Callithrix jacchus: one gene and its partners. The protein of the gene in region 2 interacts with the protein of the main gene of each other region in a pairwise test. Links are inferred from orthologs where the notes say so. Each region holds a gene or a part of one and is shown on either strand. Other genes may lie near its edges.

What was found.
Region 1: the proteins of NRIP1 (region 2) and CIB1 interact in a two-hybrid assay, tested with the Homo sapiens proteins (2 studies listed by BioGRID and IntAct). The link is inferred for Callithrix jacchus from reciprocal best matches to the Homo sapiens genes NRIP1 and CIB1.
Region 3: the proteins of NRIP1 (region 2) and ESR2 interact in a two-hybrid assay, tested with the Homo sapiens proteins (2 studies listed by BioGRID, with this or other methods). The link is inferred for Callithrix jacchus from reciprocal best matches to the Homo sapiens genes NRIP1 and ESR2.

The regions. Positions count from the first base shown.
Region 1 is NC_133507.1:19,350,439-19,361,119, forward strand, and holds CIB1 (calcium and integrin-binding protein 1), read right to left. Parts: upstream 6,937-10,681; 5' UTR 6,811-6,936; coding exon 6,760-6,810; intron 6,633-6,759; coding exon 6,598-6,632; intron 5,272-6,597; coding exon 5,163-5,271; intron 4,451-5,162; coding exon 4,300-4,450; intron 4,161-4,299; coding exon 4,042-4,160; intron 3,974-4,041; coding exon 3,885-3,973; intron 3,470-3,884; coding exon 3,448-3,469; 3' UTR 3,226-3,447; downstream 1-3,225. Other genes in the region: SEMA4B (semaphorin-4B), read left to right, coding at 143-228, 465-1,204. UniProt on the Homo sapiens protein: Calcium-binding protein that plays a role in the regulation of numerous cellular processes, such as cell differentiation, cell division, cell proliferation, cell migration, thrombosis, angiogenesis, cardiac hypertrophy and apoptosis.
Region 2 is NC_133522.1:21,969,468-21,979,506, forward strand, and holds part of NRIP1 (nuclear receptor-interacting protein 1), read right to left. Parts: intron 4,995-10,039; 5' UTR 4,668-4,994; coding exon 1,200-4,667; 3' UTR 1-1,199. UniProt on the Homo sapiens protein: Modulates transcriptional activation by steroid receptors such as NR3C1, NR3C2 and ESR1. Also modulates transcriptional repression by nuclear hormone receptors.
Region 3 is NC_133509.1:98,952,648-98,963,268, forward strand, and holds the start of ESR2 (estrogen receptor beta), read right to left. Parts: upstream 6,211-10,621; 5' UTR 5,965-6,210; intron 5,521-5,964; 5' UTR 5,316-5,520; intron 1-5,315.

The DNA of each region.
Region 1 (10,681 bases), on a different chromosome or scaffold from region 2:
TAGACAGAGGAGATGCTGATTCCTTCATGTCGGGAATCAGCTCAGGAAAGGCCTTTGTCCAGGCCCAAGTCTGCACTGAGGGGTGAGGGAATGCGGACGCAGGGGACTTCCTGGCCAGTCCCAGACTCTCTCTGGTCCTCAGGCCATGGATCCAGGACATCGAGGGAGCCAACGCCAAGGACCTTTGCAGCAGCTCTCCAGTCATGGGTCGATCTTTTGTACCAATAGGTGAGGTACCCCTCAAAGGGTGGAGAGAGGTGGGGACAAGTCTGCTTGGAACTTCCCCCAGGCACAGATGTTGTAAACGCCTTTCCTCACATCCTTGCCCCAGCCCTGTAGTCAGGGCCCCAGGAAGACTCAGACCCAGGAGTCCCCCGAGTTGCCCATCATGGCACCAGGGGCATAGTCCAGAGGGAGGCAGGGGATACTGGCTCCGCCCTACCTCATGCCTTTTCTGCCTGCAGCTGAGAAGCCCTGTGAGCAAGTCCAGTTCCAGCCCAACACGGTGAACACTTTGCCCTGCCCGCTCCTCTCCAACCTGGCGACCCGACTCTGGCTGTTCAGCGGGGCCCCTGTCAATGCCTCAGCCTCCTGCCATGTGCTGCCCACTGGGGACCTGCTGCTGGTGGGCAGCCAACAGCTTGGGGAGTTCCAGTGCTGGTCGCTGGAGGAGGGCTTCCAGCAGCTGGTAGCCAGCTACTGCCCAGAGGTGGTGGAGGACAGGGCAGCAGACCAAACAGATGGGGATGCCAGTGTGCCTGTCATCATCAACACGTCACGTGTGAGTGCACCAGCTGGTGGCCGGGCCAGCTTGGGTGCAGACAAGTCCTACTGGAAGGAGTTCCTGGTGATGTGCACGCTCTTTGTGCTCGCCGTGCTGTTTGCACTTTTATTCCTTCTCTACCGGCACCGGGACAGCATGAAAGTCTTCCTGAAGCAGGGGGAATGTGCCAGCGTGCACCCCAAGACCTGCCCTGTGGTCCTGCCCCCCGAGACCCGCCCACTCAATGGCCTAGGCCCCCCGAGCGCCCCACTTGATCACCGAGGCTACCAGGCCCTGTCAGACAGCCCCCCAGGGGCCCGAGTCTTCTCCGAGTCAGAGAAGCGGCCGCTTAGCATCAAAGACAGCGTTGTGGAGGTGTCCCCAATGTGCCCCCGGCCCCGGGTCCGCCTCGGCTCGGAGATCCGTGACTCTGTGGTATGAGAGCTGACTTCAAGAGGACGCTGCCCTGGCTTTAGGGGCTGTGAATGCTCGGAGAGGGTCAACTGGACCTCCGCTCCAGCTCCTCGTGGAATACAGCAGCGGTGCCCAGTCCTCGGGAGCCAGCTGGCCTGCTGCTCTCTGATCAAGTAGTGAGGCTCCAACCACCAAGACACCCGAACAGCCGTGGCGCCAGAGGTCCTGGCCAAAGATGGGCACCTGCCTAGGTGGGTGGAACAGTGCTCCTTACGTAAACTGAGCCTTTGTTTAAAAAACAATTCCAAATGTGAAACTAGAGAGGAAAGAGACAATGTGGAATGGCACGCACTGGCTGCTGAAGTTCATGGCTTCCCAGGCCACTGGAGATGCGTCCAGAGTTGTGGAGACAGAGTTGGAAACCTTCACCAACTGGCCTCTTCACCTTCCGCCTTATTCCGCTGCCACAAGCTGCCCTGTCTCACTGCAGACCTCAGGACCAGCTCGGGCTCCATGTGTTCTGCCTTGCCAGCCGGCCGAGAATCCAGGACCGCCTCGGGCTCTGTGAGGATCCAAAACCAGCTCGGGGTCTGTGCATCCTGCCTTGCCAGCCGGCTGGCTAAAAATCCAGAACCAGCTTGGGCTGTGTGCATCCTGCCTTGCCAGCCATCAAGGATCCAGGACCAGCTCAGACCCCGCGTGCCAGTGGAGGATGTCATTGTTGCTGCCATCATCCCACCACCTCAGGGACCAGAGGGCTGGGTTGGCACTGCGGCCCTCACCAGGTCCTGGGCTTGAACTCAGTTCCTGGACCTTTCCGGCCTGTATCAGGCTGTGGCCACATGAGGGAGAGGACAGCGTGAGCTCAGGAGAGACTCAGTGACAGTGTGTGCCTTTCCCTCAGAATTCAAGAAGAGACTATTGCCTGCCTCCTGCATCGTAGCCTGAGAATCGTGTGCCCTTCCTACCACATGCACCCTAGCTCCATTGTGGAACTCAAACACAAGGAACTAACCGTACCCTGTCCTCTCCCCAGGCCTCAATTCACCCCTCATCCCTCACTTGCCTCTACTCTAAGGGATATCAAACACTGCCCAGCGCAGGGGTCCTGAATTTATGTGGATTTTATATGTATTTTTAATACAATGCACTTTATGTCATTTTTTTTAATAAAGTCTGCAGAATTATTGTTTAATCCTGGCTCTTCCTCTTAAAGGACACTTGCTTTTTGAGGCTGGTCTCGTTCTGAGTTCTGAGGGGTTCTGAGCCACCTCTGCAGGCTCAGGTGAGCCAAAGTCAGCCTAGCCTGGCCAGTGACATCTCCCTGTGGAGCAGCTCTGAGTGGGGAGCTTCACCCACTGATAGGCAGAGGCAGGAGGTTGACTTCGGTGACCTCAACCCCTTTATTCTACATCCCCGATTTGGTTTAGCAGGGGTAGCGACACAGGAGGGATGTGACGGGGGCCCTTTGTTATAATTTTTAATTTTTCAAATCATGCAGTAAAATGGACTTTATTGATGGGGTTCTTGACATTTTGGCATGCAGAGAGTCATCGAACCACCACCCCAGTCAGGATACAGGAGACCACCCCCCTCATGCTGCCCCTTCGTCCTCAACCGTCCCACAGGACAGCTGGCATGGTGCGGCTTGACTTCCCACTGGCCCCTGCTCTGTACGCTGCTCATTCCTGCTGGAATTCCTGATGAGGTACGGCTGCTAGAAGAGAAGTCCAGGCCAGGCGCGGTGGCTCACGCCTGTAATCCCAGCACTTTGGGAGGCTGCGGCGGGTGAGTCACAAGGTCAAGAGATCGAGACCATCTTGGCCAATATAGTGAGGTGTGCCTGTAGTCCCAGCTACTTGGGAGGCTGAGGCAGGAGAATTGCTTGAGCCCGGGAGGCAGAGATTGCAGGGAGCCGAGATCACGCTACTGCACTCCAGCCTGGACAACGAGCAAGACTCCGTCTCAAAAAAAAAAAAAAAAAAAAAAAACGAAAAAAAGAAGTCCAGTCTTTCCTCATACCAGTGTAACTCGGCTCACACACAGGGTCAAGCTTCTAAACCTTTATTACTGATTAGTACAAACAAACAGGGCAATGGCAGAGGAGCGGCCCTGACGAGGAGGCCGCCCTTGACCGGGTGAGGCTGCACAGTGCCAGCTCCAGGCTGGGCCCGCCTGGCCCACCCTGGCAACACAAGCTTGACCTTGCCCACAGCTCAGCAGCAGAAAGGTTCTTGGACAGGGTATCAGGACACACACCAGGGCTGCTGTCACAGGACAATCTTAAAGGAGCTGAACAAGAGAAAAGTGGGGTGAGTTTTCTGCTGGAAGAGGAGGGGAGGGACTAAACCCAAACTCGCCCCTTCTCCCTTTAGCCCCTTCTTTGAAACGAGCTGTGTCTGTGTGAGTCAGTCCCCTCTGGAAGAATTCCCCCAGACTTCCAGAGGAAGCTTCTGGACCCACACACAGGGTCAGAGCTTCTAAACTTGTATTACTAAGTGGTACAAACACAGGGCAATGACAATAGCAGTGAGAAGGGGAGAGGCCTTGACAAGAAGAGCCGCCCCTGCCCGGGGTGAGACTGCCAGCTTAGCCGGCCATGGGTGTGGGGACCAGGGCTTTCTCTCACCCCTGGCACCACCTCCTGTAGCAATGTCCTAGGCTGGGACCTGCAGGTGCCCAGAAGGCAGGGGGACCACTGTTGTACCTGGCAAAGTCTGGGGAACGGGAGATGACGTGCTGGAACTCAGAGAGGTTGATGGTTCCATCCCTGTCAATGTCAGACTCCTCCAGGATCTGGGGAAGGGAGAGTTTCAGGCCAGAGCCACAACCCTTCCCTCCCGCTCCCAGGCCCAGCTGCTCACATTGTCAACGAGCTGCTTCATCTCGGACGCACTGAGCCGTGTGTCCTCGCTCTCTCCTGTGAGGCAGTTTACCAGCTGGCTCAGGTCTTCTCTGTTCAAGGTTCCATCATCATCAAAGTCTAGAGAGCAGACACAGGAAGCCAAAAGACATGGTCAGGAGGGGCTCTGAGGTTCCACAAACGGTGCCCATTTCCCAAGCATGGCCACCACAAAGCCCACGTGGGAAAGGGTGGTGTCCCACCGGGCTTTGGTTCTCACCGAAGATTCGGAAGGCATAATGGGACTTGATATCTGGCGTGGCTGTGTCACTGAACACACTGAGGAGGTCCAGGAAGTCCTCGAAGCTAAGGCTGTCTCTGGTTGGGGACGTGGAGAAGACTCTGCAGATTCGCTCCTTGAAGGGGTTGGCCTAGGAGAACAAATACCATAGGACGTGGCCCAGGTCACACACTCATCAAACACTATTAGAAACTTGGGAGAGCAGGTCATAGGATCAGCAGCAGGGAGCTCAGGCTCTCAAGGGTGAATGATCAGTGCTTTGGGGCCAACATGCAGGGCCATGGGGGCACAGGAGGGCAAACTGAGCCAGTTGGGGAAGGGACTGAGACAGCTTCCTGGGAGTCAAGTGTTTAACCCAAAGGCAGGTCATGTACAACCTAAGTGTGAGCAAAGAGGGAAGAAGAAGGCATCTTAAGCAAAGGGAACGAGATGGGCTGGTTATTTTAAAACACGAATGGTTAACTGAACACCTATTGTGTTATAGGCCCTGGCTCAGACCCTTTGCACAAAATTTTCACAACAGCCCTGTGAATTTGCAATCACCCTCTAGAACAGGGTTCCTCAAACCTTAATATGGTAACTCAACTCCTCTTAAAGGACAAAACTTCTTTGAACTTCCAAGAATATGTCCTAGAATCCCCATTTGAAAAGCACCATTCTAGAGAATTCTGCCAGGTGATATTAGTAAAGTCCTTGCCCCCAGAAAATTAGAACTAAGCAGAGAAATGACCAGAATGGGGACCAGTGACCTCATGATCTCAAAGCTAGCGGCAGATGGAGTTAGGGGGGTCTAGCAGGGAGGGAGTGGTGAGGGAGGGGTCAAAGGAGGGGAGCACTGGCACCTTGAGCTCTGGAAGGCTGAGGATCTGCTCGAAGGACACTTGTGCCCGAAGTGACGCCTCCACGCTCTGCTGCTCCTGGGGAAGCAGCTCACAAAACCGCTTGTGGGCTCTGGCAGAGAGAGGGGAACGGTTGGCCCTCTCAGCGATAGGTGTCCCTGTGTGTTCATTCCCACTCCTTGCCTGCTGCTCATCAACCAAGTGAGGAGCTGAAACCACGTACATAGAACTTCCCAGTCATCAGGCAACAGTAAGCAAAAGGACATGTCAGGAGGCTGTACAGCCTAGGAGTCTAGTCTTACGGTGAGTATTTACTGAGCATCTACTATGTGCTGGGCACTGATTCTAGAGATCCCCGAGGGATAAAGAGGTTGGGGATGGAGCCAGAAGTTGGCCCTAAAGAACTGGCCAGGTGCTATGGCTCACGCCTGTAACCCCAGCACTTTGGAAGGCCAAGGTGGGCAAAGCATTTGAGGTCAGGAGTTTGAGACCAGCCTGAGCAAAATGGTAAAACCCTATCTCGACTAAAATACAAAAATTTGCCGGGCATGGTGGCTGGTGCCTGTAATCCCAGCTATTCAGGAGGCTGAGGCAGGAGAATCACTTGAACCCAGGAGGCAGAGGCTGCAGTCAGCAGAGATCGTGCCACAGCACTCCAGCCTGGGCAGAGACTCTGTCTTGATAAATAAATAAATACATACATACATACATACATACAGGGAGAAAAAAACAAAACCAAAAATCTCATTATCACCTCCACTCCAGGGATCTCTTGCCTTCAAAACCTCCTTTTTAGCAGCCACCCTGAACTGTCCTCCTCCTCAGCCTCCATCTCCTTCCCATGAGATCATCTTTGCGCAGGAAGCCCAGGCATCTCCTCACTCAAGTGCCCGCCCTGCATATATCTGGCAAAAGGGCTTCCAGGTCAAGTTCAAATCTACTTGCTCAGAGTGTTGTCTTAGGCAGTTAGCAAACCTCTCTGAACCTGTTTCATTGTCCAGTACCTCTCTCCTAAAGATTAAATTAGGTCATGCAGGCAACCATTTAGCACAGTCCCTGGCACAAGGTGAGTGCTCAGAAAGCGTTAACGGTTCCTGTATTGTTCAGGTCAAGTTGGGAGAAGGAGCCAGACTCCCCAAGGCTTCCGTGGCTTAGCCACTGCGCAAAGCCGGCCCCTGCCGGACTAGAGCAGGAAGTTCGGCAGTGATGAAGCTAGTCAGCTCAGGGTCAAAGAGCACCTAACTTTTCTCGGAGGCTGCCACGCAGAGCCCCCGGCGAGGGCGGGGAGGGCGCAGCCCGGGCAGGGTCTCCCGGCCTCCAGCCCCAGCCCCTCAGCCGACCTCAGGCCGGCCCCCGCCCCTCCCTTGGGACAGCGCCCCCCGCGAGTCCGCCTCTAGAGGAGCCCGGGATCAGAGGCGGGGTTCAAGGCAGCACTTACAGGAGGATCTCTTGCTTCGTCAGGAACGTCAAGTCCTGGAATGCAAAGCCAGAGCGGGGGTTATCGGGCCGCCGGGAGGCCGTGACCGCCCCGCCGCCGCTCCCGGACCCCGCCCGGGAACAGACCGGCACGCGACTCCCTAGGGCCCGGCGTCCCGCGCACCTGATACTCGGCCAGCAGATCCTTGGACAGGCGACTGCCCGAGCCCCCCATAGCCGCGCCGCGCGCAACGCTCCGCCAACTCGCCTCGAGACGCCGACAACTTTCTCACTTCCGCCTTTGGGCCGCGTCTCAGCCCGGTCCCCGCGGCAACCGCTCCAGGGGCCACCGCCCCCGCCTAAACGCGCCCAGGCGCTCCTAGCCGGGTTGGCAGGCGAGCTCCCCGCTCCGGGCGGTCCCAGGCGAGCTGGGGGCGGGGTAAGGGGCGGGGCCTGATGCCCCGGGGCAGAGCCCAGGCCTCACGGCCCCGCCTCCGGGGTGGGCGGGACGAGCCACACCGCGCGCATGCGTGCTGGCTGCGCATGCGTCACGGGCGTCGCTTCCTGGCAGCGGTCCCTGCAGCCGCTGCCGGGAAGGTCGCGCGGTGTATCCTCCTCGGCTGCTGTAGGTGGTGGCGGCGGCAGCCCTGTGTGGAGTCCCATAGGGGCATCTGAGAAGTCACTAGAGCTGACGTTTACAGGAAACCTGGAGACTCGCTGAGTGGCCGGGGTCTTCGGCTGCCCCTCTGCCCAGCAAGGATTTTCTAGACGTTATCAGGCAATCGAGGCACCTGTCGCAGCCCCCAAGCCGCCTCTTCCAGAAGTAACCCGAACCTTGCTTCCTTCTGAGGCTATTTACTGAGGACCTACTGGATGTCAAGCAGTGTGCATAGTTTTCTTCGACTGCAAGGTAGGTATCCATTTTACAAAGGTGGAAATACGTAAGTCCAGAGGGATTTAGTGATGTGTCCGGGCTCCGGCGTTTAGAAAGTGATTGATCCAGTCCAAGGCACTTGTCTTCTTTTTTTTGGAGACACAGTCTCCCTCTGTCGCCAGGCTCCAGGCTGGAGGGCAATGGCGGGATCTTGGCTGCCTCCTGGGTTCAAGCAGTTCTCCTGCCTCAGCCTCCCAAGTAGCTGGGACTACAGGCGCGCGCCACCATGCCCAGCTAATTTTTGTATTTTAGTGGAGACGGGGTTTCACCCTGTTGGCCAGGGTGGTCTCCATCTCTTGACCTCGTGATCCGCCTGCCTCGGCCTCCCAAAGTGCTGGGATTACAGGCGTGAGCCACCGCGCCCGGCTCCAAGGCACTTTTCAAGGCTCTCCACTGCTGTTTGCATCATTCCAGCTGACATGCCATCCTTTGACCCCATCCCACCCCTAGACTGTATGCCCTAGGCTATAGAGATCAAAGCTGACCCTTTTGCTCTGGTCCCCTCTTAACCTCTAGGACAATGCTTGGCACATAGTACGTTCTCGGTAAATATTATCAAATGCATAATGAATGAATGAACGTATTCTACTGCAAAAGGTAAGGACGCCAAACTGCTGGGAGGTGGAAGTGGAGGTTGTGTTGGTCAGGCTGGGATTAACTCTTGATCCTTTCAATCCATTATAGTTGCTCATCTTTGTAAAGTCTAAATCTGAGTGTGTCATTCTCAGCTTATAACCATTAAATGGTTAACCCAAATCCTGGCCCTCTGTAACCGAACTTCCTCCTATTTGCTCTCTGTGTTTCAGCCGTTATGGGCTCTGAGTCCCTCTTCCATCTTATTCTCGGGGAAGCTTTTCCTGACTCTCTAGACTGGCTAGGAATCTACTTTGCACTTGAAGAATATCCAGTGCTTCTCCTTGGCAGCATGTGTCTAGTAAGACCCATTGTGTTAACACATGCATTCCATCATTGTAGAAATATTCAAGGCCGGGCGTGGTGGCTCATGCCTGTAATCTCAGCACTTTGGGAGGCCAAGGCGAGTGGATCACTTGAGTCCAGGAGTTTGAGACCACCATGACCAACGTGGCAAGACCCTGTCTCTACTAAAAATGTAAAAATTACCCAGGTGTGGTGGCACACAACTGTAATTACAGCTACCCAGCAGGCTGAGGCACCAGGATCCCTTGAATCTAGGAGGCAGAGGTTGCAGTGAGCTGAGATTGTGCCACTGAACTTCAGCCTGGGCAACAGAGTGACTCTGTCTCAAAAAAAAAAAAAAAAGATAACTAGATTGTAGGGCCATCCCAACATGATCATTTTTCTGTTAATAGCAGGTATTTCAGTCCAAGAAAGAGTTGGTCTTGTCATTAAAAGCTTAGGCAAAAAGCAGGAAGCTGTCATTATGTCTCCTGTACTGCACTTCCTTAAGAATAGGGACCTTGTTGGTCTCTTACAAGCCAAGGTGAATACCTGCACTACATGGTAGTACCTCTGTATAGTGAAGACAAGAGAATCAGCTTAGTGCCTGGTGACTAGCTGTGATCTAGATATCTCAACCACCTCACTGGGCTCTTAATCCTTCAGGGAACAACCTTCTGGTTTTCATTTTGCTTCCTGATAGGTTTTGTACACTGACCAGCCAGCAAGAACCTTTTGTGCCATTTGGCACATTTCTTATCGTAAATTGTTAAATAGGCAGTCTGAATCATCTGGCGGTCCTTGGTGAATCTGGTTAGCATATTGTCCCTCTCGTACCTGATCAACTCTTGATACAGTGGTAAAACCGAGCTGTTGGGGCCGGGCGCGGTGGCTCACGCCTATAATCCCAGCACTTTGGGAGGCTGAGGCGGTTGGATCACGAGGTCAAGAGAGCGAAACCATCCTGGTCAACAAGGTGAAACCCTGTCTCTACTAAAAATACAAAAATTAGCTGGGCATGGTGGCGCGTGCCTGTAGTCCCAGCTACTCGGGAGGCTGAGGCAGGAGAATTGCCTGAACCCAGGAGGCGTAGGTTGCGGTGAGCCGAGATCGCGCCATTGCACTCCAGCCTGGGTAACAAGAACGAAACTCCGTCTCAAAAAAAAAAACTCCGAGCTGCTGATATATTTTTATTTTTTATTTTGTTTATTCATTTTACTTTATTTTTTTAGATAGAGTCTTACTCTGTCACCTGGTCTGGAGTGTAGTGATGTGATCTTGGCTCATGGTAACATCCACCTCCCGGGTTCAAGCTATTCTTCAGACTCAGCCTCCCTAGTAGCTGAGATTACAGGCATGCACCACCGGGTCTGGCTAATTTTTGTATTTTTAGTAGAAACGGTGTTTCATCATATTGGCCAGGCTGATCTCAAACTCCTAACCTCAGGTGATCCATCTGCCTTAGCCTCCCAAAGTGCTGGGATTACAGGCGTAAGCCACCACGCCTGACCTGTTTTTTTTAAACAGAGTCTCGGAATTCTGTCACCCAGGCTGGAATGCAATGGTGCATTCTCAGCTCACTGCAACTTCTGTCTCCTGGGTTCAAGCAATTCTCCTTTCTCAGCCCTTCCCCCCCCCCCCCAGCAGGGATTACAGGTGGCCGCTACCACACCTGGCTAATTTTTTTATATTTTTAGTAGAGATGTGGTTTCACCATATTGGCCAGGCTTGTCTCAAATGTACCATCTTCACCTCCCAAAGTGCTGGGATTACAGGTGTGAGCCATCGCACCCAGCCCTCACTGTGATTTTGATTTGTATTTCCTTATTGATTCATGATGTTAAACATCCCAAATGTGCTTGTTGGCCATCTTTATATCTTGTTTGAAAACATGTCTAAGATTCTTTTTTTTTTTCCTCCTTCTTTTGGTTTTGTTTTATTTTTATTATCTCATTTTAAATTTTTTTACCTGTCAGGTAAGACTTTCTTTTGGTAGAATAAGATACTACATTTTGGTACTGAGGTTGGGATAATTTTTTTTAAAAAGATATTACATTAGCCAGGCCTGGTGGCATGTGCCTGTGGTCTCAGCTACTCAGGAGGCTCAGACAGATGGATCACTTGAGCCTGGGAGGCAGATGGAACGCTTAAGCCTGGGAGGCGGACATTGCAGTGAGCTGAGAATAAGATATTACATATTATCAGCCAAATTATGCTTAGCTTCACTTTTTTTTGTCTTTTACCTTGCAGCTTC
Region 2 (10,039 bases):
AGCTGATGTGACTGTACTGGGGAAAATAGAGGCATCAGATAGTTTTTGCTTTTGTTTTACAGTCTCTCATGTTCTGAGGAAAGTCATCAGCCAAGGTTCTCAAAGATCAAGGTGCAGAAGAAACACCTAGGGAGCGTGTTAAGATGCAGATGGAAGATTCCAGGTCCACTTTGCAGAGATTCTTGTTCTGTAGATCTGAGATGCTGCCTATGAATCTGCATTTTAAAACAAATGCTCCAGATGGTTCTAATGCAAGTGGTCTGAGTTCAGCTTTAAGGAATCCTGGTCATAAGACTTGCAGGTACCACTGGAATGGTGAGAATTAACTTTTACAAGAGATGGTGAAAACTGTCCAAAGAAAAGCCATTTTGCTTCTGTTAAAAACAATTTCTTAAATATTGAACTATTCAGGAAACCACCTAGAGATAAATGTTAACTTTTCTAATTCTGTAAAACGAGGAGTTTTAGTAAAGTAGTTAAAATACAAAAAATGGAAATCTGCCTTTTTTAAAGGTTCTATCAAACTTCCCTCAATTGTAATCAATTTTTACTAAGTAGTACAAGGTTTAAAGAAATATATATTGAAAAGGACCAGGGTGGGACAGACACATTGGGAACCAAAAAAACCTCTTCCAAGAGTTAAAAATAAACACTTTTTTTTTTTTTTAGCAAAAGTGAAAAATGTAACCATATATTTTTCTAATTTGGTTTTGAATTGGATAATAAGCTGTGAATCAGCAGTAGGCTTTTTTTTTATTGGATAATTATCCTTTAAAGACTTGTTTAACAGTTTGGACTTTAAAAAATGTGTTATGTAGGCTGACTTCTGAAATGCAAACTAAAGTACCCTAAATAAAGGCAGCAAAATGCATTAATCCACTATGAATGGAATTTTACATTTTAATTTATGCCTATTATTTATGTTTATAAAAGAATTTCATTCATAGGCTACTCACAGTTGTTACCTGATGCATACAGAAGTGTTAAACAACCAATTGCTAGTTCAGTAGTTTCCTCATGACATCTAATGTTAAGCAAAAGTTAGTATGCATATTTAAACATCACCAGTAACCAATACTTTTCAAAATGAAAAAGTTTCAATTATACCATGCTTTTCTCAAATCATGCTCTTATTTATACAGATCTCAAGTTCATACTCATTAGTTTAAAAAGATCCAAAACTGGATGGCAGGTACATTTTATTCTGATTCTTTTTTTATTGTTAGCATGTTTCCCAGAAGTCCATAAACTTCTCCATTCGTGCTGTGTGGGCGAGAAGCATTATTTCCTATATGGCTATTGTAAGGGCTTCTTAAATTAAAGAAAGAAGCTTTCGTTTCTGCAGTAGGAAGTAACTCTTCTTTGATTGTGACCTGTGAGACACTTTCAGCAGATGAAGGCTCCCTCCAAATGTCTTTGTCTTGTGTTTCTCGACTGGTAACAGAATTGCCTCCTTTCTGGAGCATATAATATAGTATTGGGTTGGTTTTGGTCAGTCTTGGAGAATCTTTTTCATACTCATTCTTCTCCACATCAGTGATAACCCACTTAATGGGTCCTTTCTCACTGGGCATGGAACACCCATTCAAAAGCCCAGATTCTGGTCTAGACCCTGCACAGCCCAAGTGCTCAGGGAAAGTAGGACTCACAGGAGTTCTTACTACTCCTGGGTATGAAAATGTCCTGCTATCCATGCAACTGTTGGGCTGACTGGAACTGTACATCAGTCCATTTAACGAAGAAATGCTAAATTCAGGTTTGCTGTTGGTCACATTATTTTTGTGTCCTTTCTTTTTACTGTCGGTGACAGAGTTACTTCTGTGCGGGGACAGATCTCGCACACAGTTTTCCGAGAGAAGCAGCTGTTTCAGAACATTGAAGCTTTTGCTCTCTCTGGCCCAACTCCTTTGTTCACTTTCGCTGGCTGAGCTGTGACCAGCAGGATATTTAAATTCAAGATCATTTCTGCTCAATTTCAGCTCTTCCTGGTACCCATACAGTACTTCCGGGGCACTGTGATTGTTTGCAGCATCAACAATGTTGTTCTTCATCTTTTTAAATGGATTTTCTAATGGCTCAGTATAAAGCTTCCTTTTCTTAGGGACCATGCAAAGATTCTTTGATTCTAGAAGTGACATTTCATTATTTCTGTGACTCTTGTCTGAATCATCTGCCAGGTAACTATCTTGATTCTGTCTTAGCAATCGACTTAACAGACCATTCTTTGAGAAAGAAAAATCCTGAGGTGAAACAGGCTCCGATTTAAAGTCCTCGGACACTGGTAAGGCAGGTGTGCTTCTTTGCAAAGCAGGAGCCATACCCAAGAATGGCACACTCTTAGTATCATGGCTCAAGTGCACATTTGTATGAGGAATTTGTAAGTCATCACAAGGCTCAGACTTTATTTTCACCATCAATATTTGTTCACTTAAAGCTCTCTCTGAGTGTTCCTGAGTACTTTCATCTCTTAAGGGAGTTTTCTCTTTCTTTTCACTCTTACCTTTGTTGGGGTTTCCCAGGAGCAACTGGAGGACAGTACGTCTTTCAAGCAGATTTTCTATTTCAGAACCAGAAAGTCCTGGTTCTGTAACTGTTGGTTGACTACTAAATCCTTTATTTTCTTCAACCACATTTGTTTTACTTGAGAGCAAAGGGCTATTTAATCTATCAATCATACCTATCGGTTTATCTGTGTTTACAGTTAACAGCTGTTTGCTAGATCTCTGCTCTTCCACTGACACAGAAGACTGCATTCCACATTGTGCTAAATTCTGTAACAGCTTACTGGCACTAAAAGTTGCAGAGTTTTGTGCACCTTCACTGTGGGCTGGTTTCTCTCCTGGCGGTTCTTTGCTTTTTGTAAGGTCCATTGAGTGGTTAGATGTAGTATTTGTTAGCTTTTCAGATGGAGTATTGCAGGCATATGGTGGGGAATTCCATTTAATAACCAGAGAGTGTTGAGAGAGATTGATGGGAGACTCCGCTTTGGTTGATGTAAGTAATGGTGGAGTGCTCACTGGAGTAGTCCGATTTGTACTGGGGCTTTCTATCACAGAAGTCCTTGAATAATTCTGTGTATTGAACTTGGTTACCTCATTGTGTACTCCCTGAGGGCTGGCGTTTTTTTCTACATTTTCTTCATTCTTATGGCCAAGTAGCAATTGAAGAAGTGTTACTTTCTGGTGTGAGTTTAGCTTAGAATTCTTTGAGGTATCTTGATCTTCTTTAATATCTACATCTGGGACTTTTGGATCCCAAGTGTTCAGCAAGGATTGAGTAAAGTTATCCAAAGAAACAGGTTGGTCAGATTCTGATTTTTCAACTCGGTGTTTGCAAGACAAGTCTATGGGAACGCAGTTGGAGTAAGAACTTTCATCACCACTGCTGTCATCTGTAAAACTAGGATTGTTATCTGAATATTCATCAATAGTTGTAGGAGTACTACTTTCCTCAAAAATGCTTCCTCTCTCACTGTGACTATGTCCATTCACTGGCTTAGGTATAGTCTGGCTTTTAAGAAGATGTAAAAGCAAACTATTGTTAGGAGCTTGTTTTACATTGTTTCTTTCTAGTGAGTTCTTATAACCTGCATTTTTAGGGGAAGAAGGAATGATACCCATTGGATTTTGAAATGTTGCAGCATTACTTTTGCTAGCCATCAGTTTGCTTGATGATGTTCTTGCCTGACCATTAAGATGGCTTGACATTCCTTTTGAGAGCTGGAAATTGCCAACATCCTTCTGGCCATTTTCTTGCAATCTGGCCATAGCAGCAAGTCTTTCACTTGCAGCTTGATTTGCATTTTGTGTTTTTAAAGCATGTTCTCGAGAATACTGCTGCAAATGGGCTTCACTTGAAAGAAGTAATGCCAGTTGGCTACAAGCAACACTAGGTTTAGGTGAGGTGGCAGGACTAGCCCTTTTTTCCACCATGCTTGCAACAGCCTGTAATCTTGCAGCACATGACAATGGTTCACTCATGACCTTTGTTCCACTTTGTCCAACATGATGAGGAGACTCGGCAAACCTATCTCTGATTAGGTTTTTAGTCACGTCAGGAAGATTCGTGTCAGTCTTTTGATCTTTAACTTTACTTTTCTTCAACAAAGTTTTTAAGTGACTTGATGCAACACCATAGCACCTTAAATCCTTCTCCACTTTTAAAGAATCATGACTGAGGGCATATCCTTGCTCCTTGAGGCTCTGCCTAATTTGTTGTGACAGAGCAACAGTCTGCAGCCTAGAGCTGAATGACTGAAGCAAAGAGGCCAGTAATGTGCTATCCTGTTTGCCTTTAGGCACATTGTCAACCATGCCAGCCAGCAAAGCTTCCTTCTTTACGTTTAAATTTACGATAGAATCAGACAGCCTCTTCCGCTTTGCTGCATTCCAGTCCTCGGAAGACTGCAACAGTCTGGCTTTTTTGAGATGCAGCATGCCAGATCCCTGATATGTGTGTGTATTGAGAACTGGACAATTACTTTGACAGGTGGGAAATGCACTGCCAGAAATGTTAAAGTTCTGATCCTCTTCATTATGCCCAGCAGACTTTTTGTCAATGGCAGTACCTGATCCCCCTGCTGCCTGATGCATTAGTAATCCTTCTAGGTAAGTTAAAACAATAGAATCCTGGTGCACATCAGAGCCAAGCTCTTCTCCATGAGTCATGTTCAATAGAAGTGTTCACAAGGGCTTGGTTTCTATTCACTTTGAAGAATGGTTTTCTGCGGTGAGATGTAACTTTAATAACTGAGTATCAGTTTATCACCTTCCATAGCACTGAGAGAGAGACATACTCTTACATTCTGATGAGGATTTCTTTTGGCAATGACAAGATAAATGCAGTCTGACCACAGAGCTGATGAACTTCTAAGCAAAAAGGAGGATAATTCCTTAAAACATAGGTCTGTAGCAGTAAGCAGATATAATCCTTAGTGAATATATTCTTTTTCCTTCTTCATCTTTTATTCCCCATTAAATGCAAATATCAGTGTTCTAAAAAAAATAAAAATAAGAATAGTTAAGGAGGTGCAGAACTAGAATCATGTCATGATACCTACAAGCAAAATAATATGGCATTTGTAAGTTTATATATACATATCATTAGTCACCTTAGTAATTTGTTTTATTGCCATTCTATTCAAATGAAAATCTCTACTAGAAATCCTGTGGGTTAATCTATACTGTTAAAATGATCAAATCATTTAGAGAAGAGAGCATTCTTTAATGTTATATAAACGTCTTCCAAAGCCTGCCAAGTCTCTGAATTTTCATAAGCACCTTTCTGCAAATTAATGTGAATGTTAAGTCTCCTTTACAGGTTTATAGCTCTATAGGGGAGCTAAAAGTTGCTTCCTACATTACTGGTCACTTAGGAAGAAACAAAAGTAGATGTGCAGAAAAAGAAAAAGAGATGCAGACTCCGATGAGTCTGATGTGGGGTTGAGGCCAACAGAACAGATTCACTTCAGACATCATCCCCCAAACACCAGATATCCCATAAGTGATTTTTAGAATTTCTGTTTTTCAAAAAAAATCAAAGTACTAACAAGTTGAAGATTATTTTGTGAGCCTGTTCAAAGTGTGACAATCTTAATGATATTCCTAAACATTAAAATACAGTCATAAACTTACCTACCCATAGTTTTTACCATGACTTATTAAAGATGGAGTAGAATAATTCTTTAGATGCCCTTTAGATGCTTGTTCAGGGCTATCAAGGATTTCATATAGTTTGTTATTTAATCCTTACTCATGTGTTCTATGGAAAAGTCTTAATGTCACGTCCATTCCTTACAGATACAGAAGACAGGGAGGGCATAAAATGGAAAATGCCAAAGACATTTTAGTCACAGTTTGAAAAATATTCCAATGATATTATCTAAGAAGATACTGAACAATCCCCTATCACTAACACATATACAACAGAAGAAGCAAGAACTCATTACATTTCTGAAAACTTGATAGAGAAGTGTCAAAATTGACCTAAGGAAGGGGGCCATTACACCTTTGGAAGAAAAGCTGGAATAAATTCCATGAAGATTGTTTTTCAAGAAGCCAGAACATTTTGTTCTGGTTATTAGATCTCTTCAGTTCTACCAACAAATACCTTGGTCCCTATGGAATTGAAAAGATAAATTCTAATTTAGAGACTACCCTGTAGCTTTTTGGGTAAAATGCTAACCTCTAAGTCAAACTTTAGGAAAGAATTATCTGATTGCATCAAATTGTTAAATTGATTGAAATGATAAAAACAATACCCAAAGAAAAAGCTATAGAAAGGAGGCAGCAACAATTAAATAAATTTCAATTGTATAAAGAGGTGAGAAAAGAGTTTCTTAAGATCCCAATGCCACTATTTTAAAAAGATTTGCCATAATGTACTTAAAATGGACATTTTAAGAGGCTTATAATGATATGGAAATTAAATGATGATAACTCTCACCCAATATCCATTCTCCCATTTTCCTTTACTAATAAAACCCTGATATGTTTTTCAGAAAGTAGGGAGGTATCTCAGCTAAACACTACTTATTTTTCCCCCATAGGTATATATCTTACAATTGATGGCATGTTGCTTAATCAGAGGCTTATTTTTCTTAGTAGTATAAAACATGAGTACATTTTACAACTGATAACATCTTGGAGTTGAGGAAACAGTTTTCTAATTCTCTTAAAAAACTGCTAATATGGCCAGGCAGGGTGGCTCACACCTGTAATCCCAGCACTTTGGGAGGCCGAGGATGGTGAATCACCTGAGGTCAGGAATTAAAGACCAGCCTGACCAATATGGTGAAACCCCATCTCTACTAAAAATACAAAAATTAGCCAGGCATGGTGGTGCGTGCCTGCAGTCCCAGCTACTCAGGAGGCTGAGGCAGGAGAACTGCTTGAACCCGGCAGGCAGAAGTTGTAGTGAGCTTATATCGCGCTGCTCCACCCCAGCCTGGTTAACAGATCAACATTCCATTCCCACCCCCCCAAAAAAACTGTTAATATACAATTAATTCTCAACTAATGAAGACATTTAATAACCATTTAATGGGATATGCAAATCCACTGTATTTCTCTCCACACCACTGTCAACCTTTTTGTTCTTGAGTGAACTCAAGAAAGGAAAAATCATATCAGTCATTTGAAAACTGGTTTGTAAAATATATGTCATTGTAAATAGCCTTAAAATATACTTCATTGAAGCATAAGAATGAAATAAGGAGCATCTTTAAGTTCATATTAACTCCTGTTATTTCTATTCTGCTTTTTACTGTGCATAATATAAGTTGCAAAGTATTATTCATTGCTTTAAAAAGATGAAATTTACACATTTCTGAACTTACAAAGCAGATTTGGAAGTTAATTTAAAAAGGAATTACCACAGTTTCTTTGTAGAGGGGCTCTAATACTATATTTTACCATTTATTTACCTATCTACCATTTATTTCCTATCTTAGCAGAGAAAGTAGATGACAGATATTGAGAATAATCGTTTTTGTTTTAAATTTGATTACTTTTTTTTGTACTTTAGGTTCTCGGGTACATGTGCAGACCATGCAGGATTGTTGCGTAGTACATACATGGAAAGGTAGTGTGCTGCTTCCATCCTCCTGTCACCTCTATTTGGCATTTCTTCCCATGTTATCCCTCTCCAGCCTTTCCAAGAATAATCATCTTTTAATAATCATTTCTTTTTTTGGCAATCAGCTTTCTCAGGTTGAAAATAATAATTTCTTAAATATGAAAACAATTAACTTCAATAACAAAAAATAACATACAAATAATTTTATTAAGCTCCTTGGGTCTGAGGACCGTGCTAATGATAATTAGTACAGTGCAACACAGTCAATATATACCTGAATCTTGGGATACATTCAAGTTATTAAACGACCAAATTCCCAGTAGAAAGGAAGGGATTTTGATATTCAAATGCACACATTCTCTCACACTCCAAAACTATAGGGAGTTGAGAAACTAAAATAATTCACATCACAAATTTGAAATCACACACTGTAAGTTCATCACTTATATGAAATGACAAGGCAAAGATCATTCTAAATATTCAATTGTTTATTTCATTTAAATCAATACAACAAATTCTTACCGAACTCCCAATCTGCTTTGAGACCTGTCTTAGGACTGGTGAATTATGTTCATTTTAAAAGGGGGATGTGATAGGCAACATCTAGAGAAGCAGGCAAGGTGAACATCTACCTCTAAGTTTCTAGAATACCTCTAATAATAGAATTCTCTTCTCATGCTATTTCTTTTCACATTTTCACATGACTATTACATCACCAAGTACAAAAAACTAAAAAATTAAGTGTGACTTGAAAAATATTCTAAAGATTGTTTCAAGATTTTCCAGTGAGAATTATAAAACAAACATTTTTAGTTTAGAAAAGGTGGTACCATAGTATGCATAAGAATCACTGTGTGGGGGAGGACTGAAGATGGCATGGTGAGAACAACCCAGGATTGAAGCTCTCAGTGAATGTGCGGAGGGTGAGTCAGAGCCACATTTCCAGACGGATCTTTGTTGCCCACAGAACGGGGAAATTCCCAGGTATAAAAGAGATGCGGGACGCAAGGCAGAGGTTTTGGCCGGCACTGTAGCGCAGCGGTGCTACACAGCGCTCCGCACAAAGAGCACTGGTCTGGGTGCCCTGTTAAACCGGCAATCTGAGACTTGAGACTGAGCGGGACTTGGACAGTGAGCCAGCCCAGGAGATTCCAGGGAAGCAGCGTTTGGGGCAGCGCAGTGGGACAAACAAAATGGCGATTCCAACGCTCCGGGCGCGAGCACAGCTGAACCCAGGACGGTGCAGCTCTGTGGCGGAGGGGCGTCCGCCATTACCGAGGCAATCCGCCCCTACTGAGGTAAACGACCATGACTGACGCAGCCTGCTGCTGCTGAGGCAACCCACTACAACAGAGACTCCACCGCAGGCCGTAGCCCATGGCAGCAGGGCGGAGAATGCAGCAGCAGGGCAGAGCCTGCAGCAACGGGGCGAACCTCACACCAGCAGGGCGGAGCCTCAGCAGGCAAATAGTGACGAGACTGTCTCCTAGCTGGGCAGGACAGCACAACGGACACTCACAAAGAAAGCCCCAACCCCCCCGAGACAGAGCATCTGAGAAAAAAACGGTTTTGTTTATGAGTTCTGTTGCAGCAGAATTAAACGTAGAAGCCTAACAGCCCTGAATTAACAACAGAGCTCACAGCTCAGCAATTGAGCACCTATAAAGTACAGACTGTCTCCTCAAGAAGCTCCCTGAACCCTCTATATCCAAAAGACTGACATTTGGCAGGCATCATTCTGTAACAAAGATAGAAGAAAAAGAAACTGGTAGCATCCCTCACTGTTCCGCAGCTGCTATAGGTGCACCCCAGACAGGCAGGGCCTGGAGTGGACCTCAGCAGTTGTACAGTGGAGGGGCTAGACTGGTAAAAGGAAAACAGAGTAACAGAAATACTTCATCATCAACAATCTGGGTGTCCACTCAGAGACCCAACTGAAAAGTAAGCAACTACACAGACGACAGGTGGATAAATCCACAAAGATGGGAAGAAACCAGTGCAAAAAGGAGGAAAACACCCAAAACCAGAACACCTCGCCTCCTAGAAAGGACCAAAACTCCTCACCAGCAAGGGAACAAAGCTGGACGGAGAATGACTGTGACGAAATGATGGAATTAGACTTCAGAAGGTGGATAATGAGAAACTTTTCTGAGCTAAAAGAACATGTTTTAAATCAATGCAAAGAAACTAAGAACCTTGAAAAAAGATTCGAGGAAATGATAACAAGAATGGATAACTTAGAGAGGAATATGAATGAATTCAAGGAGATGAAAAACACAATACAAGAACTTCACGAAGCAGGCACAAGTTTCAACAGCCGAATTGACCAAGCAGAAGAAAGAATATCAGAAGTCGAAGATCAACTCAATGAAATAAAATGAGAAACCAAGATCAGAGAAAAAGCGCAAAAAGGAATGAACAAAGTCTCCAAGAAATGTGGGACTATGTGAAGAGACCTAACCTA
Region 3 (10,621 bases), on a different chromosome or scaffold from region 2:
CTCCCTGAGCTCTGCCACATTTTCAGTAGAAACAGGTACCAATTTGGGGCTGTGCCTTTTCACAGTGCTCTGAGAATGAAATGAGATAATGTCTGTGAAAGGATTCTGTAAGGTATTATTACACAGACTATGGTATGTGCCAGACTATTGGTATGTCATTGGATACACATATAGTGTTGGTTGGAATTTCCAGACAAGTTACAATGTCTTTTGGCCACCTTGAAGATTTCTGCCTCCTAATTTTACTTTTTGGTTTCTGTTCTACAGAAATCCATCACCCCTAGATTCCAGATAGCTGGGAGCCTGACAACACTGTGTGTGCGGACAAAATGCCACATATTCCTGATCCCATATTCTCAAGCTTGCAGAGTAGGAAGACTCTGATAGCTCATCCCTGTTCCTCTTCCACCTGCCCATCACACTTTCCCAAGCATTCAGTTCAATCATCTCACATTTATGTGCCCTATAGAAGTAAAAACTTCACACTCACAAAGTAGAAACTAGAAGGAATTTCATGGTAAAAATTTAAAAAGATTTCTTAAGCAACAAGAATCCTTGATGTGTGTAAGTAGCTGTTAGGCGACTATTAGCCTTTTTTTTTTTTTTTTTTTTGAGACATGGTCTTGTTCTGTAACCCAGGCTGGCGTATAGTGGCAAGATCATGGCCCACTGCAGCCTTGACCTCCTGGGCTCAAGGGCTCCTCCAAACTCTGCTCCCCAATAGCTGGGACTAAAGGCATGCACCATCATGCACAGCTAATTTTTAAATTTTTATAGAGATCCAGTCTCACTGTGTTACCAGTTCAAGACTGGTCTTGAACTCCTGGCCTTAAGCAGTCCTCCCATCTTGGCCTCTCAAAGTGCTGAGATCACAGGCCTTAGCCACCACACCTGGCCAGTTATTATCTTTAAATGTATCCCTTTTAAAAAAATTTTTTTGAGATAGAGTCTTACTTTGCTGTCCAGGCTGGAGTGCAGTGGCACGATCTCAGTTCACTGTAACCTCTGCCCAGGTTCAAGCAATTCTCAGCCCCCTGAGTAGCTGGGATTACCAGCATGAGCCACCATGCCCAGCTAATTTTTGTATTCTTAGTAGAGACAGGGTTTCAATATTTGGCTAGGCTGGTCTCAAATTCCTGGCCTCAAGTGATCCACACACCTAGGCCTCCCAAATTGCTGAGATTATAGGCATGAGCCACCACACCCAGCCTTTTTAAATATATTCTTTCAAAACAAAATATTGAGACTTTTAATCAATTTAATATTAATTAGGAAGATAAAACACTCCAAAATCACCACAGAACTCATCACTAAAAACTGTTTGGTGGCTGGGCGAGGTAGCTCACGCCTGTAATCCCAGCACTTTGGGAGGTTGAGGCGGGCAGATCATGAAGTCAAGAGATCAAGACCATCCTGGCCAACATAGTGAAACCCCATCTCTACTAAAATACAAAAATTAGCTGGGCATGGTGGTGCATGCCTGTAGTCCCAGCTACTTGGGAGGCCGAGGCAGGGGAATTGCATGAAGCCAGGAGGCGGAGGCATGCACCATCATGCACAGCTAATATTTTAATTTTTGTAGAGATCAAGTCTCACCGTGTTACCCAGACTGGTCTCGAACTCCTGGCCTCTTTCAATATACTCTTTCAAAACAAAATATTGAGACTTTTGCAGTGAGCCGAGATTGCCCTACTCCAGCCTAGCACTTTGGTGAAAGAGCAAGTCTAAAAAAAAAAAAAAAAAAACTGTTTTGCATGTAATTCTTAAGAACATGCATATCAAGAAACCCTGTTTCCTTCCAAAATGAGGAAAAGCTAATTATCCTAGTAACCAATTGGTGCTTATTTAGATAGGAAATAGTTTTGAGGGCTTGAATAGGGTAAGAGGACAAAGCCTCAAAGGCAGGCATGGGAGAGAGTTCATCTGTCTTTTCTCTTGATAGCAAGTTTCTGCTCCTCCCCAATACCCACAACAGCCACAGACAATGCTCTGCAGAAACTGAACCAAATTCAAATATTCATTTGGGACAGGGTTAGAGAGAATTCTGAGTGAAGAGATGCAAGATAACATGGCCAATCCAAAGTTAGGCTGAATGCACTACACCTCCTTCCAACCCTGGGTTTGACAGAACACAAAACAATTTACCAACAAAATGCTGCAGTCTGGCTTTGAGGAAACATATACAAGTCCAGCAGTGTTTTTCCAGGTCACCCTAACTCTCCTGCCCTCTGTCAAGTACACCCACACAAAGATTCTCCACTAAAAGTCCTTCATTTTCAAGACCTGTCTTAATTCCAGCTAGAAAGGCCAACTAGTTCCTCATAAACTTGCCACTCTGCATATCCTAGTTACTACCACTGTAACTGGGTATGCAAGGTAAGTTACATATTTAAAACACAGACTGTTTTCCTTTTTTTTTTTTTGAGACAGAGTCTCATCCTGTTGTCCAGGCTGGAGTGCAACGGCACAATCTAGGCTCACTGCAACCTTCACCTCCCAGGTTCAAGCAATTTTCCTGCTCAGCCTCCCAAGTAGCTGAGGTTACAGTGCACCATCATACCCAGCTAATTTTTTGTATCTTTAGTAGAGATGGGGTTTTACCATGTTGGCCAGGCTGGTCTCGAATTCCTGACCTTGTGATCCACCTGCCTCAGCCTACCAAAGTGCTGGGATTATAGATATGAGCCACCATACCCAGCTGAGACTGTTTTTCACAGAATGAAAGAAAAAGGAAAAAGACATCTACTTTATATGTGTATATATAGACACACACATATATATATTAGAAATAACTACCAATAACAGGCTCCTAACTGTATAGTGAATTAAATACTGTATTAAACAAGAAAAACTATTAGTTTACAAAAGATTTTGCATCTGCACCCTGCAGGAAAATCTAGACTTCAAGGCATGAGCACAGAAATTTAAAAATCCTGACATCTACAAGTAAGTTGGGTACATACCTAAGCTCCTATGAAGATAAATATTTTACCCTGAGCAATCGTAATCACTCTGCATTTTAAATGTCTTCAAGTTGTTGTTTTCAATCCCTCTTTTGCTTCTCACTATTTGATAATATGCAATTTCAGGTGTAGCTTTCTTAATCTGAGGTATAATGAAAGTAGTTTTTTCAAATACAGAAATAAGTTTTAAATTTCAAAGATTGGAACAGAATGGTGCTATTAATATGATATAAATAACAACTTTTAATAGCCTATTTCAATTCAGGATAACCAATGATAATATACCATAACCAAAGGCTTAAACCGCAATAGAATCTAAATCTGCTAAGAACTAAATCTGTTAGACCAATATGAATTTAACACTTAGCTCAAGTCTCTAGTTTCCCATTTGCAAATAGCATTGTCTTTGCCTTAATTTATCCCAAGGTACTAGAATTCAAACAAAAATACCACAGACTCAGCCTATAAAAACAGAAGAACAGGTTTTTCTTTCAAGAAAAGTGAAGAAAGGAAAATATGCATAAGTAAAAACATACTAAAGAGCAAAACTTGTGGTATAACATTTTGGAAAAAAAAAAGAGCAAAATTACATAATCAGCAAACAGATCAGTGATTTTCAGGGGCAGTGGGGTAGGTGGAGAGGGTTGACTACAAAGAGGTACATGGGGGACTTTTGGGGCGATGGAGCTGTTTCGTGTCTTGTCTGTGGTGCTGGTTATATAACTGCATCTGTCAGAATTCACAGAGGTACACTTACAGAGGCTAAATTTTACTGTATGCAAGTTACACTGCAGTAGCCTAATTATTTAAAAGTACTATTACATGTAAAACAAAATGCTGGACACCTGAATTATGAAATCTAATGTTCAAGCATACAATTCTCAAGGGTTCTAGATGTATTATCAAAAATTTACTAGTAAACACTTCAAGTTCAGCCTTCAGTATTTTATATTTTATTCATATTCATGTTCTACAAAATGATTCAAAACATCACCTAAAATTATCACAAGATGTATTTTGAATCATTACATGTTGAATCATTTATAGAAAATGTCAATGTCTTATTTTTAAGAGTGACCATATCAATATCTATTAAATGTTAATTAAATGGTTATAAGTTGAATTTACTACTAAATTCACCTTTTCTGAATTATAAATACATTTTGAGAAGTGTAAATGGTGATTAGATTTATTCACATCCCTCAGAACACTATGAAATGTGTCCTAAACATGTTAATTGATTTCAGAGACTTCTGTCTTGAGCAAAACTTAAGTGCTACAAGCATCTGATAGCTTTTGAAATGAGAATGTTCAAGAAATTCATCTAAAAAAAAAGACTTGAACGTAAAATGCAATCCTAAGGTGTATGCTCTAATGCCTATTGATGAACAGATCCTTACAGTTTCCTTCTTCTAGAACTTATGCCAAAATATATTGATTTTCTTCAGAAAAAAATAGTTGAAAATGTGAAGCATGTTTTCATAGTCATAGTACATTTGCTTTTCACAACACTCTCAGAAAAACCTTTCCTTTCACATGTTCACTTTTTAAACATCTTTCCCCTCACACAGAGGAAACTAGACACTGAGTTATGAAACTTACAGCAAAAGGAAAACTTTCTAATGGAATGCCCATGTAAATACTAGAAATATAACAAAATAAGGCAAACTCTTTCCTCCCAAGTGTTGCCTACCACACCAAAACACAATTCTGCTTTTTAAACAGCAAGTAAAATTAAATCGACCTTATCTTCCTCAATAGAAGTCCATTCGAAGTTTTATTTTTCACAAAAATGACATTTACTTGACTTAATATTACCCTTCCAATAAGAATAACACGGAGGGGGTTAGAGGGCAGTAGTTGGACCCCTCTTCAGCAAATAAAGGATACCAGATAGCGCTTAGCCCAGGAAAGGAGGAACTCAGCTTGCTGACATGGCTGAGGAATGCCAATACATTAAAAAACCCCTATCATCTGTTTGAGACATGTACATCTTCCCAGGTCCTCAAACTTCAATCAGAAAGTGTGTTCAACAGTCATTTCATCTACACTGGGGAAATCCACCGAGGAAAACCAGAGAAAAAGCAATTTTTTTCCCAGACATTCATATTAGCAAAATCAATCCAGAGCTCACAAGCACAAACTAAATAAGTTAACTTGCCGGTATCTTGAATAGAGACATTTGATCAAAGCATGATCAAAAGTATTTTCCATCTTTCCGGCAGCTTGCAATACAGTTGGTTTTGGTGATTTTTTTTTTTTTGGTCTTTTATTGTTCTCAACATGACTGGTTTCTCATCGCAGGATTTCAAACAAAATGAGAAATCACACCTTGAGCGAAAGGGCGCTTACCTTGCGGATAAACACACCGGCCTTGCAGTCTCTAAAATGCGGACACGTGCTTTTCCCGCAGTAGGGGCCTCCCGGCACGCGCCCCGCGGCCACCTGTTGAAAGCGAGCGCTCCTCGTGCAGCCCCGGCTCCGAGCGCCAGCCCTGGGGCCCGTCGCAGCTCGGGTGGTCCCTTCCCAGCCCAGCGCTCGCCGCCTGCTCTCTGCCCTGCAAGTTTCAAGAGGCAGTTATTTCCCGCAGCTGCCTCCGGGCGGGGGAGTGAGTATCCGAAAAGCCAGCGGCTGGAGAAACTGAAAAGATCACCAGCGACTTAACGATAAGCCCCTTTTTTCTTTTAAAGACCGAGAGGACGGTAGAGGGGAGTAGTGCCTAAGCCCACGTGACCACAGAGGAGCCCGGCGGTCTCAGGAGCACCCGGCGCCGCGCGTGACCCCGAAGTGGGAGCACCCTTGAGCCGCCTCCTGGTCCACCCACAAGGACAGTGGCGCACAGATGGCGCTCCCCGCAGCCCCAGTCTCATATTAAGGGTTTTGGAGTAGCCCGAGAACATGCATTTCCAACCAGGTCCTGGGAGATGCTGACATTGATACAGCCAGTCTGGGGACCATACTTCGATGATCACGTCCCCAGCTCCTGACTCCCCTGACTTACATGGGTGCCATTCAGTACAGAAGTCCGATTCTAAGGATCCAGTGGTGAAACCAGAGAGGCTTTGGGTTTGTCAGATCCCCAGCAGCAAACGTAACCTCGGGTCCTAGAGTGGCAAAGCCGTGAACTAGAGGTGGAAGGCTTGGGTTCTCAGCTCTTCAAGAGCTCTCTGGAAAGGCCTTTGGCGTTATATCAAAGATCCCAGGTACTTCCTCGAACTCACTTGGTGGAAGTGGCACCGCGAAGACCTGTGCTTCCGGCTGCGGTGCCCTTCTCCCCTGGAGGCGCCTGCCCACTCCCTCCTCAGATGAGGGACCCTCGCGCCCCCTGGTGGCAGCCCCAGTTCCCCGAGCTTAATGGGGTGTTCCCCTCACACACCCCAGGACCCCCAGGTTGTGAGACTAGGACCACAGGCTCAACTGGCTTTAGGGCAGCTGACGATGATGAAAAGGAAAAGGAAAGTATCATGTGACCCACGGGCCATTGTGAGACTCGTGTCACATCTGTGCCTAATTAATCATCAAACCATCTACTCAGGTGGCATAAGGGACGTGGTTTTTGAGGGTTGTGATCCAGATCTTTAATAGAGGAAAACCAAGGGGGCATTTGGAGGGAACATTTTACAGGGCCAGCCTCAGTTGTTCGGTGTTTAGCCAAAATAGAGAGAGGGTTCTGGGTTGATAAGGATGAGGTCCACAGGTAGTGAAGACAGGCTCCAAAGATGGAGAAGCACCTGCTTCTTCAGCTAAACAGTGGCTGTGAAAAGTCTCCACTGCCCCACTCCAAGTCCAATTTTCATTAAAGCTGTGAGTTCTGGTTTCTCTCCGGTTGAAAGGCAGTCTTTCCTTGAGGCAGAGAAGTTAGTTTGGACAGGAAGAGTGTGTCACTGGCAAGCAACTGCAGCAGACAACATGCCAATCTCAGCCTCTCTGTCCCGTCTTGGGGTCTCTCAAGGTACCCAGTCCCCATATACTCCCTTCTCCTTGCCACCTTATGGAGAAAATGTTAAATGATGGGTTAAAAAATCAACTTCGTTTGGTGGTGTATACTTGTTAACAAGATATCTCTGGAAATGGAAACCATCGTGAAGGAATTTCAACCATGAGCCAACAGGCAAAGATGGGTGAGGGTGAAGAAAACACATCTATCAGTATCAACATCATACCTAACTATGTGCTAAGCACCTGCACAGCATCTCATTTAATCCTCATACCAGCTCAGTGAGATAATATTGACTCCACTTTTCAAATGAGGAAATTGAGGCTCACAGAGCTTCTATCAGCTACCTGAAGCCACATAGTGAGAAAGGAACCCAGTAACAACAGTGGCTTCATAGAGAGCTACCACTTATTGGACATTTTATGCCCCACTCTCAAAAATTCTTATTTTATATGCAAGCCTGTGAGGCAAATTCTATAATCCCCATTTTATACTTGAGAAAATGAATGATCAGGAAGGTTAAACAACCTACCTATGGTCACATGACCTATCAGTGGCTAAGAAGGACTTGAATCCAGGAGAGAGACCAAGGGCCCATTTACCTCATGCCTGCAATCAGAAGTGAAGGTGGCTTGACTCTGCTCTATGCAGAACACTGCAGACAAACTCCTGCCACCTGTGAGGCAAGCTTCTACTCTGTGTTCACTGTGATGCTTCCTTTAGAAGGCATTCTACACACAGGAACAGCATGTTCTCTTTCTAGAGCAACTCAGACACCCACAGAAGCTGTTTATTATACAAGGAAAGCTCACTGCAGGAAATAATAAGCAGAAAATGAATGGGAGTGAGTAAATTTTCTTCTGACTCACCCTTCTATCAAGAAAGACAATGGTACCCAGGGATGGAACCTTTGCCTGGTTTAATGCAGAGTGAAGAGGATGATTATTCCAATTCTACCTGAATTGTGACCACAGCAAAGAAGGGATTATTCTCAAGGTAGTTCATATTAATGGGTAGACCAAAAAGCACCCTGAAGCCTGGTATTGAAGACAATGCCTCTACTCAGCAGGGTCCCAGCCTCATTTCCACCTCACCCCTGACCTGCCTAAGGAGGCACCCACATACTACATTGAAATGACTGCCTGCTTACAAAATATCCTACAATGGGGACTGAAATCTTCACCATTAAGTCATAGTTTGGGGATAAGGCATTGAATTCTTAAAATTCAGTCATGTTATATATAATGGGTAATACTAATTTACTAGCATTTATGATTAGTAAGATGAGCTAAATGTTACCTGGGAAAGCAAAGGAAGTCAATATGGGACAGGTATGTTTTGCAGTGAAGAGGAAGGAAAGCCCCTCCATGAAGGTTCATATTCCTCATCTTCCCATCCCGCCCCTTCTCTGTCTAGTGAAGTCTTATACATTCCAAAGCCAAGAGCCTGAATAAAGTGAAGAGCACATTGGCCCAGTGGAACGTGCACACTGCCTCCCCAAAGCCCTCATCTTACCTGTCAACACAACCTGCGCTGCGATTGGACAGTGCATGTCTTATATCTCCAGCATTTTCCGTGGTCCATAACGCCCACCTAGCATAATCCAGGCATTCAACAAATATTTGCTGAAGGCTTCGACTTGGAAAGATCAGGGGGAAAGAGTGGGGCAAAATTTTCTGTAGGAAAGAAACTACCAAGAGGCAAAATAAAACTCTGTCAAAAGCAGGAATGCAAAAGCTAAGATGAAAAGTGGAGGGGAAGAAGGAATCCTACAGATGTCTAGAAGGGTGTCATGCCTAAAGGTGCCTTTGGATTATTGCTTTATTCTCTGAGCTTGAGGCCAAGCAGGAGGATATGGGTTCTGGAATACTCTTATCTGTTCCAGAGTATCATAGGAACGGGTTTATTCATATTATGTGGGCATAAATTGGTCTGTTTTAAGAGAATCTAAGAGATAAAACCCTACCCTTATGGACTTAATAAAGGAAAGGAGATTCACTGAACCTGCAATAATACTTTTGGTGGTGATGAATAAGAAAGATGAGATTACTAATTCATAATGCAGAGGTCACCTCAACTGAACATGAACCAAAGTTCGCAAAATGTGATTTGACATTTGAAACTTGAATTTGGATGGAGCTCTTAAGGATCACATTTTTTGTAGAAATAAAAACAAACCTAATATTTATCGAGCATCTTTCTAGCCTGGACACCACAATAGTCAGGCTTGCATAGGTTGATTCACTTTTATTTCATTTAATCCTCAAAAATTCCCCAGGACTGTCTATTTTACAGATGGGAAAACTGAGGCTTAGAGAGCAAACATTTCTTTTATAAGGTCACCCACATGCATGCGGCAGAGTGAAAGTTCCAACCCAACTTTACCTACATACCTGCACATCCCGTGTTTTCCCCACTGTCACTGAGACACTTTTCTTATTTGTTGCATAAATGGAGGCATGTCTGTTCTGTAGAACCCAGATATTGTTGAATGCAATTTCTTTTCTAGGAATGACCATCTATGAGCATATTTATGTAACTTATTCTTTATTGATCTGTGTTGGACTGAAGTCCTCAGAGGGTAACAAAGGACATAAGCAGAAAGATAGACCTAACCTGATACCTGAGCACCAGAACCATGAGACAAGGTTACTGACCTGCAGTTTAAATGAACCACCTGAGCAACCAGCACCTGCAGCCAACTCTTTCTAAATCAACCTCATTTGTCTCAGTCTTGATATTTGATAATTATAAACAAACAGGTAAAAAATAACTTTTTATCCTGTCCACTGCCCCTTGAAGGTACTTAAATTCCACATAAATCTTTTGCATATATTGAGTTTCTAATTTTCTATGCATTTGCAATCAAACATGAAGAATACACATTTTTGGCTTTACTTCCAACTCTGAACAATTCTCTCCAGCTAGAAGAGAAACTAGCTCCTAGTTAATATGAACACCCAGTTGAGAAAAAAAAGTTATAGGACTGTTAGAAATTGTGGCAAATTGCAATATGCAATTTCACAAATTACTCAAATGCAATTCTGAAAATGCAGCTTCCTTACCTTTTCTGGCTCAGAATAAGATTAACAAGAGGCCAGCCAGTGTAATATTCCCTGAAATGAGATCAAAAAAGAAATAAGGTGTAGACAGACATGGCTTGAGACCATAGATAAGACTGGTTCCACTGAGTTTAATTTCAAAAAATATTTCAAAATTGTTGACTAAAGTTTTTTCTACATCTTCCTGTAAATGTATCTAACATTTTCAATTTCTTTATTCATATCATGGAAGTTACTAGAAATGCCTCATATTATACTTTAAACCAACAGCAACTAACTCCCCAGTGATGCACAATGCACAAACAGCTTTTATAAAAATACAGACCTGATTTTTTGTGCACAGAAAATGCTTTCTTCACATATGTCACTGCTTGATCTGATGAACCTAACCAGAGAAAGGAATTTTCTTCTTCTCCTTATTCAGTCCTCTCCTTTGCTGGGAATTATAACCAGAAAATTAACTTCTCTAAGCAGCTCACGCAGCTACTTAAGGATCACCGATGCTGTTCTGTGGGCCAGGATCTCTGCATTCTCTTCCTCACATTGTTTCTCTTCCTTTTACATACCCACATAGGATTTTCCCACTGTCCAGGCAGTTTAGCTAACTTCTTAGTGGTTCTGCTCAGATTCAAGTCAAGAACTTCCTCAGCCTGCTCCAC